Linked DNA regions of Arabidopsis thaliana. The protein of the gene in region 1 interacts with the protein of each later gene in a biochemical or structural test. Each region holds a gene or a part of one and is shown in the gene's direction. Other genes may lie near its edges.

Region 1 (6,107 bases):
ATATCAGCCTTGATGTATAAATACTGTAAAAATATGCTCTATCTAACTAAAAACATCAATCTGACTCTCTCTCTATAGTCTATAATAGGTTAGTAACGATGTATAATTGACTCAAATATAAGACCGTGTCGGTAGGTGATTTGACTAAATCAATGTTCGCACAATTCTTTAATCCACAAGCAAACTTTTATAGCTTGTGACACTTACTTAATACGTTCAAATTGTAGTTCTATCTTAAAAATTTCATGAATACAAAAGTCACATAAATGAATAGAAAGGGAAAAAACTTGTATAACTATATTAACACGCTCATCTTAAAATTCGATAAAATAAAAAATTTAGCAAAGTAACTCAGAATTAAATTTATTAAATAAACATTAAAGTAAGAAATACTGTTATAAAACTATTCTCCTTATTTGGCACCACACGTTTTCAAGGTTCTAACATACAAAAGCATAATAAAACTATATGGGTTTATTGAAAAAATCTTTAAGCTCCATACTCCATGTTGAATTTCCGTAGACCCCTTTTGATGCTTCGTCTTTTTTCTTTATAGAATGTCGTTGTTGTCCCTTTGTGCCTTGATGCTTAACCATGCAACCGCGCAAGATATATATATATATATATATATCTTGCCTTCTAATTCTCTTTTCTTTTCTTTTTCTTCTAAATTTGGCCTTTTTAAATAAATCCACTTACCTACCTATGAATCCAGTATATCAACAAATCGTACGAAAATGTACCAATTAGAGATTTCAATATGATTGAAGTGCATGCAGCATGTGTATATGTTTTTATATAAAGCGAAAGAAATGCATGTGTATTTCAGTATTTGTTTAGTACAAACTACAAACTAAAAGTGAAACGAGCTAGGATACAACAAGATCTATATATGAATTTTTGAAATATTTCATGCATGCATACATTCTCCCAATATATAACGTCTAATTATTATAAAACTGTAATCAACGATGGTTTACATACTAATCATGAATTCAGTGAAAGCTTTATTAGAGAAGGAACATAGAATGATTAGTCCATGTTTGTGGAGAATGTATGTAGTATGCCTGATCATTTTCCTTGTACCTCTTCCAATAGAATGGTCCGATCCGACCCATTTACTAATCGTCATGCGGCCCATATTCATGAATGGTTATAATTTACAAGGGTCCAAGTCTCCAAGGCCAGCCACAGAAGTAGACAGACACTCTCAGAAGTCCAAGACGGACATAATTAAACAAACAATTCGATTCAACAGCCGGCCATAAATTTATGTTTGATTCAACCCATTTCGATTCTCATTACATTAATTAGCCAAGCATATGCTTTAGTAGTTTAGTCCCACTAAAATAGCCATAAGATTGGCGCGAACATTGTCATTCACAAAATACCTTAAAACACATAACACGTTCATTTTGGCCCCATTAGCACATGCTTCAACATGTAATCTCATCAAGAAATTCATGTTATCACTCAAGTTGAATGAACACTTAAAAAACCTTGTGACGACGTTATTACCAAAGCAATGGAGTTGTCACAGGCTTTCTCTACCCACGTGGAAGATAAAGACAGCTTTTGTAGTACTAGTATATTAAAAAGGACCCCACTCCAATCACAAACAGCACTGTTGTATTGTTTTTATCCGATCCCTAAAATAAAGATTCTTCTGACAAACCTATCTTCTTTAAGGGGTTATGAACTGATGATTCCCGGAGAGAGAGGGTTACCATCAATAGCCTGTTAACCGGAGAGAGGGGTTTTAGTGTTTTACCATAAATTTACAAGGGTGACCGTCAATAGCCGGTTTACCGGTTTACAACAACTGCCTCATCTCAAACCCGTTGTTATTTGTGTGGTCAATAAAAACTTTTTTAATTTATTTTAATTTACAAGAATGATTATAAAAAAAGGGGTTTCTGTTTCAATGGGGCTTTTCACGTCATCTTCCTTCTTTCTTTTCTAAAGACAACGACGGATTCTTACCGCAACACACACAAAAAAAAAATAACTCGAGAATTCTTCATTTCTTTTAAATCTTAGAATCTCGAGTTTTTGTATAAATCGATTCTAATTTTTCCTTTGTACATTGTTTTATATATACATAAAACACACAAATCGGGTATGGGGGAATTTGGGTTTTAAGATAGCGTGATCTGTAATAATAAGTGGTTCGCGATCGTGATCAAGAAACTGGTGGCTGATAGGTGAGTTTTTTCATCGCAATTGACTTGTTCACTTACCGATCTGTAAAATTCTTGGGGTTTTGGGTGGTTTTTGATCCTTTGACTCTGATCCGGTTTTCAAATTTCCATTAAATTTCTTTGGCGGGTCGAAATAATTTGTTCGAGATCTGATCAGGTTACTGTTTCTTTTCATCTTGTCTCGAATCTTATAATTGAATTTGTAAGCAGCTTCTAGCATTTGAGTCTTGTTCAATTTTACCAACGCTTTTCCATTTGCGTGATCCATTTCTTGTTTCAGTGTCTTTCTTACATCAAAGGCTCGGATTTGGTCGTGTTGATCTGATCTAAATTGGTGTTTACTGTTTATGATTCTTGTTGCTACTTTCTGATTCTTTACAGTGTTCTGTTCTGTTCTGTTTTGTTTTTGTGTTGCTAGTGATATGCATATTTGAGAGATGGTGTTCAAGAGAAAGTTAGATTGCCTTTCCGTGGGATTTGATTTTCCCAACATTCCCAGAGCTCCTCGTTCATGCAGGGTAAATTTTGATTCATCTGGATCTGTTAGCTCAATGTCATGAATTTGCCTTCTGATGAATCTTTTTTTCCAGAGGAAGGTTCTAAACAAGAGGATTGATCATGATGATGATAACACTCAGATCTGTGCAATTGACTTACTAGCTTTGGCTGGAAAGATTCTACAGGAAAGCGAGAGTTCCTCTGCGTCTTCTAATGCATTTGAAGAAATTAAGCAAGAGAAAGTAGAAAATTGCAAGACTATTAAATCTGAGTCTTCTGACCAAGGAAACTCTGTGTCAAAGCCTACTTATGATATCTCTACTGAGAAGTGTGTGGTGAACAGTTGTTTTTCATTTCCGGATAGTGACGGCGTTTTGGAGCGGACTCCGATGTCTGATTACAAGAAGATTCATGGTTTGATGGATGTAGGGTGTGAAAACAAGAATGTAAATAATGGGTTCGAGCAAGGAGAAGCAACCGATCGCGTGGGTGATGGAGGCTTAGTCACTGATACTTGCAACTTAGAGGATGCAACTGCGTTAGGTCTGCAGTTTCCGAAATCAGTCTGTGTGGGTGGTGATTTAAAATCACCATCCACCTTGGATATGACCCCTAATGGTTCCTATGCTAGACATGGGAACCATACTAACCTAGGTAGAAAAGATGATGATGAAAAATTCTATAGTTACCATAAACTTAGCAATAAATTTAAGTCGTATAGGTCTCCAACAATTCGAAGAATAAGAAAGTCCATGTCGTCCAAATACTGGAAACAAGTTCCAAAAGATTTTGGATACAGTAGAGCTGGTAAGTATAACACAGCCTGCTTCACTTATCTTTGAACACATTTCTTCTTTTTGTGATTCACCCTGTTCTTACTTTAAACATGGATGTCTAGATGTGGGTGTGAAGACTCTTTATCGCAAAAGAAAATCATGTTATGGTTACAACGCATGGCAGCGTGAGATCATTTATAAGAGAAGAAGATCACCTGACAGAAGCTCGGTCGTAACTTCTGATGGAGGACTCAGTAGTGGAAGTGTTTCCAAGTTACCCAAGAAGGGAGATACAGGTGGTTATTGTAGTCTATCTCAAAACTCTTCAGTTATCTTATCTTAGCTGTTGTGGTCCTCTCAAAAGGCTCCCATGGTACTTGACTGGATGGTAAATGATACTGAGACATTTATCCGGAGACAGGATAATGTGGTTCTCATGTATTTTTATCTCTGGTGCAGTAAAGCTAAGCATTAAGTCCTTTAGGATTCCAGAGCTTTTTATTGAAGTTCCAGAAACTGCAACAGTAGGATCACTAAAGGTATATGCCAATATGTATTTCTTCACATTTGTTTGGTTCTCTTGTGTGGACATTGAGGTGTTAACAAATTACCATTTTGCTCTTTGACCCTTTTGGTTGCAGAGGACTGTGATGGAGGCTGTCAGTGTTTTACTCAGCGGAGGAATACGTGTTGGGGTGTTAATGCATGGGAAGAAGGTTAGAGATGAAAGGAAAACTCTGTCCCAGACTGGGATCTCATGTGATGAAAATCTAGACAACCTTGGGTTCACCTTGGAGCCTAGTCCCAGCAAAGTTCCCCTACCTTTGTGTTCTGAAGATCCTGCTGTGCCAACCGACCCTACAAGTTTGTCTGAACGGTACTAAGAAATTCGCTATCATATCCTTGTGCTGCTTTAGTTGAATATCACTGGTGTTCATTCTTCTTGAAGATTCCTAAGCAAAAGCGGTTCTGAATTATCATCCCAGGTCTGCGGCGTCTCCTATGCTAGATTCTGGAATTCCACATGCAGATGACGTGATTGATTCAAGAAATATTGTGGACAGTAACCTCGAATTAGTTCCATATCAGGGTGACATATCTGTTGATGAACCTTCATCAGATTCAAAAGAGCTTGTCCCACTTCCAGAGTTGGAAGTCAAGGCGCTTGCCATAGTTCCGTTGAACCAGAAACCTAAGCGTACTGAGCTAGCCCAGAGGAGAACTAGGAGACCCTTCTCTGTGACAGAGGTAGAAGCTCTTGTACAAGCAGTTGAGGAACTCGGGACTGGAAGGTATATAACACTAGTTCTTTCATAACTCATGTAGTTTGGTCGTGGGATAATGTCAAAGCTCAAAAGCTAATGGTCGATATATCTGATCACACAGATGGCGTGATGTAAAATTGCGTGCTTTCGAGGATGCAGATCATCGGACTTACGTGGACTTGAAGGTAAACACATCAGACACAAACATGTAATCTGGAACATATCACGTCTTACAGTCAGGTTAATATCTCAAGAACATGTGAATATGCAGGACAAATGGAAGACGCTAGTTCACACAGCAAGTATATCCCCACAGCAACGAAGAGGAGAGCCGGTGCCACAAGAACTGCTAGACAGAGTCTTGAGGGCATACGGGTATTGGTCGCAGCACCAAGGAAAACATCAGGCGAGAGGAGCGTCCAAAGATCCAGACATGAACAGAGGTGGAGCTTTTGAATCAGGTGTTTCAGTGTAAAAAAGGAGGTACGCATTGGTGGGTGGGTGTACAGAAGCAAACAACACAATAAATGGACAACTCAATTTCTGCAAAGTTTAATTGTCTTTATTTCTCGTTTTTTTTTTTCTCCTACATACACTTTTTTTTTCCTTGCTTTGGCATCTGTAAATGACTCCAACTGGGATGAGATTCGTCCCTAACCAAATTTTTAGGTTCTATCTTTGTTTTTTCAACATTGATTACATTGTGTAATAATTTCGGTCCATAAAAAGGGATCTTGTAATTTTATACATTCTTTTATGTTCTATCCTTTCTGACAAGTGACAGGTCAAACCTTCTTCATTATTTCGTTCAATTTTTTTAATTTTTTTTCAATAAAACACATGAGAGATGAGAGTGATATTGTGACAGATATCTTTGACAAAATGTGAATAACCCAATTTGAAAGATAAGAAATACTGCTGCTCTGTGATTTTGGAATATTAGACACAGTTAAGTGTTTGTTATTGGTGGAAAGACTCTTAACTAAGCCAAAGTGTTCATTTCTTCACAAATTCATAAACTTCTCTAAGGTTTAGAATCATCTAACAATGTTTGTTACTTAGTTTCCTACAATGTTGAACCGTCAAGTGTAGAAACATAGTTTCAACTTCGAGTCCCAATGTGACGCCATCCTCCTCTAATTTACACCTACTTCGCAATTCTAAGACCCATATATTGCATCAAAGACGAGAGACAATTGTTGAACCTTGCATTTTGACATCCTTTACACGCTAAACTTATTTTCCATCTCCTGCAACTTGCAAAGTACAGACCTCAGATTAGCAAAATTCGAAAATACAACTATGTAAGCAAAGAGGCAAACTTCCAAAGAGCTGGGATTTTTGAGTGTACCGGGTAAATGCAAATA
Region 2 (5,624 bases), on another chromosome or scaffold:
GCTCAGTTAGGTTCCCAAGTTCAGAAAACCAAATCCGCCGTTACTCGTAACGGAGCTCCGTCATGGAACGAAGATCTACTCTTCGTAGCCGCCGAACCTTTCTCCGATCAGCTTGTTTTCACGTTGGAGTATCGAACATCGAAAGGACCAGTCACCGTCGGAATGGCTCGCGTGCCACTCAGCGCAATCGAGAGACGCGTCGACGATCGCTTGGTTGCTTCGAGATGGTTAGGATTGGAAGATCCAAACGACGAGAAGAGAGGAAACAGATCTAGAGTTCACATTAGGCTTTGCTTCGACGGAGGTTATCACGTGATGGACGAGGCGGCGCACGTGTGCAGTGATTACCGACCTACGGCGAGGCAGTTATGGAAACCAGCGGTGGGAATCGTCGAGCTCGGTATAATCGGTTGCAAAAATCTATTACCGATGAAGACGGTTAACGGAAAAGGATCAACGGACGCGTACACGGTGGCGAAATACGGTTCTAAATGGGTCCGTACCCGAACCGTGTCGGATTCTTTAGATCCGAAATGGAACGAACAGTACACGTGGAAAGTATACGATCCGTGTACGGTTTTGACTATAGGAGTCTTCGATAGCTGGGGAGTATACGAAGTCGACGGTGGAAAAGAAGCCACGCGTCAAGATCTAAGAATTGGAAAAGTACGTATACGTATATCGACGCTGGAGACTGGTAAAGCGTATAGAAATACGTATCCGTTACTGATGTTAGTTAACGGCGGCGTTAAAAAATTGGGAGAGATAGAATTGGCCGTTAGATTCGTGAGAACAGCTCCACCGTTGGATTTCTTACACGTGTATACTCAACCGTTATTGCCTTTGATGCATCACATTAAACCGTTGAGTTTGTTTCAAGAAGATATGTTGAGGAACACTGCAGTGAAGATCTTGGCCGCACATTTGTCACGATCTGAGCCGCCTTTAAGGCCGGAGATAGTACGGTATATGCTCGACGCCGATACTCATACTTTCAGTATGCGTAAAGTCAGAGCAAATTGGCTTCGGATAGTGAATGTAGTCGCCGGAATGGTCGACGTGGTGCGGTGGGTTGATGACACCCGTTTCTGGAAGAATCCGACATCAACTTTACTAGTTCACGCACTTGTCGTGATGCTGATTTGGTTCCCGGATCTTATCGTACCGACATTAGCGTTTTACTTGTTCGTGATTGGTGCGTGGAATTATAGGTTCAGGTCACGTGCTGCTCTACCACATTTCGATCCAAGACTCTCGTTAGCTGATGCAGCTGATAGAGACGAGCTCGACGAGGAGTTTGACGTCGTACCGAGCAACCGACCACCGGAGATGGTTCGGTTGAGGTACGATAAGCTACGAAACGTCGGAGCTAGAGTTCAAACGATTCTTGGTGAAGTGGCTGCGCAAGGGGAGAAGATGCAAGCTTTGGTGACGTGGCGTGACCCACGAGCGACTGGTATATTCGTGGGGCTGTGTTTCTTTGTGGCGTTGGTGTTGTATCTTGTGCCGACGAAGATGGTGGCTATGGCGTCAGGGTTTTATTACTTCCGGCATCCTATTTTCCGTGATCGGAAACCTTCTCCGGTGTTAAATTTCTTCCGGCGACTACCATCATTATCTGATCGGCTCATGTAATATTGTTTTTTTTTTTGGAGGGGATGTATATATAGTTTGGGTCGTTTAACCTTGTTGGGCCTTATTGGGTTATAATGGGCCACTAAATGGATTTTTATATGATTTCCTATTATAGGTGCTGTGTTTGACCATGTCTAAAACAAAGAAGTGTTTGGTATGACAAAATTGATGAACCTACTTTTTGAGCAGAGTGGTAAATGTGCGGAAATAAGCACACAAGGAAATCGTTGTTGGTGACTAACAAAAGGAGTTATCCACTGCCCAAGCATTACCAACTACCACCAACCAAACTCAATTTGGAAATTTCAAAGGTCCATTAGTCAAAGCAGCATTAAGTCATTCAGTAATCAACAAATATATTCATATGAAACCCAAAATAAAATAAAATAAACACTTTTCAAGAAAAAAATAAAATACTGAGTACTAAACTGGAAACCCTTTATAAGCAAAAAGACCAAAAGTTAAAAGTTAATTAAGATTTGGTTTAAGGCGCTTTGCTTTATTAGAGAGGAAGGAACGAACCATCATAGAAATCTCTCCTTCGTTCAAGTTTTTCTCTACTGTGTTGGTTGAGCAATCGAGTGATGGTTATTGCGGTGGCGACGACGAGCTCCATTGTTTCCGGAATCAAGCTTTCAGGGATCTTAACTTCGTTCAACGCCGTAGATGATGCGTCCAGTAGTTGCGGAAGAAGCAACTTGACCGGAGTTAGAATTTTTCCGACATTGAGTCGGCGACGATTCTCATCGATCGGAGCTGTTTCCCCAATTCGTGGGGATGCTCAATCTTCCTTTAGTCGCAGGTAAAGCCTCGATTTTTGGGTTTAGGTGTCTGCTTATTAGAGTAAAAACACATCCTTTGAAATTGTTTGTGGTCATTTGATTGTGCTCTTGATCCATTGAATTGCTGCAGCTCTTTCGCTTGCTCTCAGAATCTCGGTTTGAGCGGTGGATTTAGTGCAGCTGAAGCTCTGCCACCTGCTTGTGCAAATGCTAGCCCTTCTTCCATTAAATCTTTCAACCAGGTGACTCTTCATTTCTATTTTCAGGATAAGTTTGTGGTTTGATGATCCCTTGTTTCTAAGTCTCTTGATTTGTGAACAATTCAGGGTTTTTATATATCTGTATCTGTATTTCTGAGTTGGGTTGAGTTATTGGCTTCATGCTGACTAAACATGTTTGGCCCTGTGTGTTCTTCGAATTTCATTTTAATTGCTTGATGGGTTTTATTGACTTGAGTAAAAGTGTACTACTTTATAGGTTTTAAAAGAGTTTTACTTTTGGTGATTTTCCAATGGCTTTGAAGAGAGAGATTTAAATCATGGGGTTACTATGTTCTCATACTGCGTTTGCTCTGTTCTGTTGTTTTTCTTTCAGTTGATTGAAACCTTGATTGATCGGGTTGATCTATCTGAAACTGAGGCTGAATCATCTCTTGAGTTTTTGCTGAATGAGGCAAACGAGGCGCTGATCAGTGCCTTTCTAGTTCTTCTGAGAGCTAAAGGAGAGACATACGAAGAGGTAAGTATCCATTAAGTCAATCTAGGCTTATAATAAAAAAGTATACATAATCCTATATTACTGCACTTCAATAAGTTAACTCAACGTTCACTTTAATTCGGATATTGGGTAGATTGTGGGGTTAGCTAGGGCAATGATGAAGCATGCCAGGAAAGTGGAAGGATTAGTTGATGCTGTGGACATAGTTGGAACAGGTGGTGATGGAGCAAACACAGTCAATATATCAACTGGATCTTCAATACTTGCTGCAGCTTGTGGTGCAAAAGTAGCAAAGGTATAACGAATGAGAAAATCCTTAAAAGAAACGATATATTTAAATTTTGACTATCTGCATTAATGCTAAATGATCTTCGTCTGGTCGTCTAACTAATGGATACTTATTTTGCAGCAAGGGAATCGTTCAAGTTCTTCTGCTTGTGGAAGTGCTGATGTACTAGAGGCACTAGGAGTGGTTCTGGACTTGGGACCAGAGGGCATTAAAAGATGTGTTGAAGAAGGGGGGATCGGTTTTATGATGTCACCAATGTATCATCCAGCTATGAAGATCGTTGGTCCTGTTCGGAAAAAGCTTAAAATTAAAACTGTTTTTAACATATTGGGACCTATGCTTAATCCTGCTAGAGTTTCTTATGCTGTCGTTGGTGTATACCACAAAGATCTGGTACATTTACTTATTGCTGAAATTAGTTTGTTCATCAACAAAAACAAGACATTTACTTACCATTTGCTTGTGTGGTTTCATAGGTTGTTAAGATGGCAAAGGCACTGCAACGATTTGGAATGAAAAGAGCACTGGTGGTTCATTCATGTGGTCTAGACGAAATGAGTCCGTTAGGTAAGATTATCTCTTCCCAAAATTGATTACTTTTATTATTGAACAATTATTAACCAATCATGGCTTAACGAAAAACAGGAGGAGGACTAGTTTATGATGTAACTCCGGAAAAGATCGAAGAATTCTCATTCGACCCATGTAATGTTTCCTCTAGCTTTTTATCCCTTCTCTAAAATGAATATTGCAGATGCAGCTTAATGAAATTGAAGCTTATTTCTTTTTGACAGTGGACTTTGGTATTCCTCGTTGTACTCTTGAGGATTTGCGAGGTGGAGGTCCAGACTACAATGCGGATGTGCTAAGACGTGTGCTTTCAGGGGAAAGTGGAGCAATTGCGGATTCATTGGTATGTTTTGATTTGCCGATTCAACATTCTCTGAACTTCTGCAATTTGTTCATCCTTTTTTTTCAAAATCTTGTTTCAGATCCTAAACGCAGCTGCAGCTCTTCTGGTTAGCAACCGAGTTCAAACGCTAGCTGAAGGAGTAACCGTGGCACGTGAAGTACAATCGTCTGGGAAAGCTATCAAGACGCTTGATTCTTGGATAAACATCTCAAACTTAGCTCAGAAATCTCAGTGACCAGAAGAGGCTTATGATATTGTTGTATTCAACGGATCACCTTTGCAAGCAATTGTAGATGAAGATGGAGGCAATGTGCCAAAGGAAGAAGCTGGAGTTATTTGTAACTTAAGTTTTCTTTGTCAAACAATAAAGAGAAGAGACCGGAGCGAGCTCTATACACATTCATCATGTAAACACTACAACAATAATCTTTAATAAAATGAATAAATCTGTTTTACTCAAACGGAGTTCAGATTCATCATTGGGATACAAATCAAACCTAAGTAGTAAGTAGAAAAACAAAATTATAAAATTAGTCCTAACATTGAATCACAGACCATAATCTTGTTCCGAAGTTCTTCACTAATTCTGCAACTACACCTAAAATATCATCATCGTCATGGTGTCTATTCTTTGGAGACTTTCACACGCATCTCTGTCGGTTTGATGAGCTTGAACGTACAAACATCTCCGACCAGTAAACCTAACTCCTTGGCCAAACGACTCCATCCACCAGAGAATCTTGATTGTACATCAGTGACCACATATGTAACATCCCATGACTTCTTTCCTCTCGGATAATGAATCTTGAACATCGTTGTCTCAGTTGGCATATGCATATCCACAAATTTCTTTGGGATCCCCTGAATCACAGATTTTCATTAGATTAATACACACTTTTATACATAGCCATTTCGACAGTGTGTCACTGGTCTTGTCTTGCTTAATCTTACCAAGAACAGAAGGTGTGATTTCTTTATGGTGAGCTTGAATTCTGGAATAAGAGATGAAGTACCGGCTTCAGAGTCGTTACTAACAGTTTCCACCTTCTTCTTCTTACTCGTCTTGGATTTTTCGGTTTTATCGGCTTCCTTCTTTCTCAAGTTAAGCTCCTGTTTCTGCGTCAATCTCCCACTTGTAGATTCAGCTGTTTTGTGACAAGGATGGCTCGATTCAGACCAAGACTCTATCTCTTCTTCCTTCTTCACATCTTTGTAGATGCTCTTCCTCTCTTCTCTCTTGTTCCGACCTGTTTGCATCAAAATCAACCACAGAAGTAACTAATGACTG

What was found. Proteins that work in one complex are often made in the same cells at the same time.
Region 2: the proteins of TRFL9 (region 1) and TRP1 form a complex in vitro, tested with the Arabidopsis thaliana proteins (one study listed by BioGRID).

What each region holds. Positions count from the first base shown.
Region 1 is NC_003074.8:3,981,380-3,987,486, reverse strand, and holds TRFL9 (TRF-like 9), read left to right. Parts: upstream 1-1,861; 5' UTR 1,862-2,204; intron 2,205-2,582; exon of another isoform or gene 2,583-2,619; 5' UTR 2,620-2,638; coding exon 2,639-2,719; intron 2,720-2,791; coding exon 2,792-3,506; intron 3,507-3,597; coding exon 3,598-3,771; intron 3,772-3,934; coding exon 3,935-4,014; intron 4,015-4,116; coding exon 4,117-4,352; intron 4,353-4,461; coding exon 4,462-4,767; intron 4,768-4,861; coding exon 4,862-4,925; intron 4,926-5,011; coding exon 5,012-5,215; 3' UTR 5,216-5,607; downstream 5,608-6,107. UniProt on the Arabidopsis thaliana protein: Binds specifically to the plant telomeric double-stranded DNA sequences. At least 2 repeats of telomeric sequences are required for binding. Induces DNA bending.
Region 2 is NC_003076.8:5,955,111-5,960,734, forward strand, and holds TRP1 (tryptophan biosynthesis 1), read left to right. Parts: upstream 1-1,969; 5' UTR 1,970-2,219; coding exon 2,220-2,437; intron 2,438-2,547; coding exon 2,548-2,659; intron 2,660-3,011; coding exon 3,012-3,155; intron 3,156-3,267; coding exon 3,268-3,429; intron 3,430-3,543; coding exon 3,544-3,816; intron 3,817-3,899; coding exon 3,900-3,990; intron 3,991-4,068; coding exon 4,069-4,128; intron 4,129-4,217; coding exon 4,218-4,336; intron 4,337-4,415; coding exon 4,416-4,571; 3' UTR 4,572-4,960; downstream 4,961-5,624. Other genes in the region: AT5G17980 (C2 calcium/lipid-binding plant phosphoribosyltransferase family protein), read left to right, coding at 1-1,635; VDD (VERDANDI), read right to left, coding at 4,961-5,197, 5,288-5,583.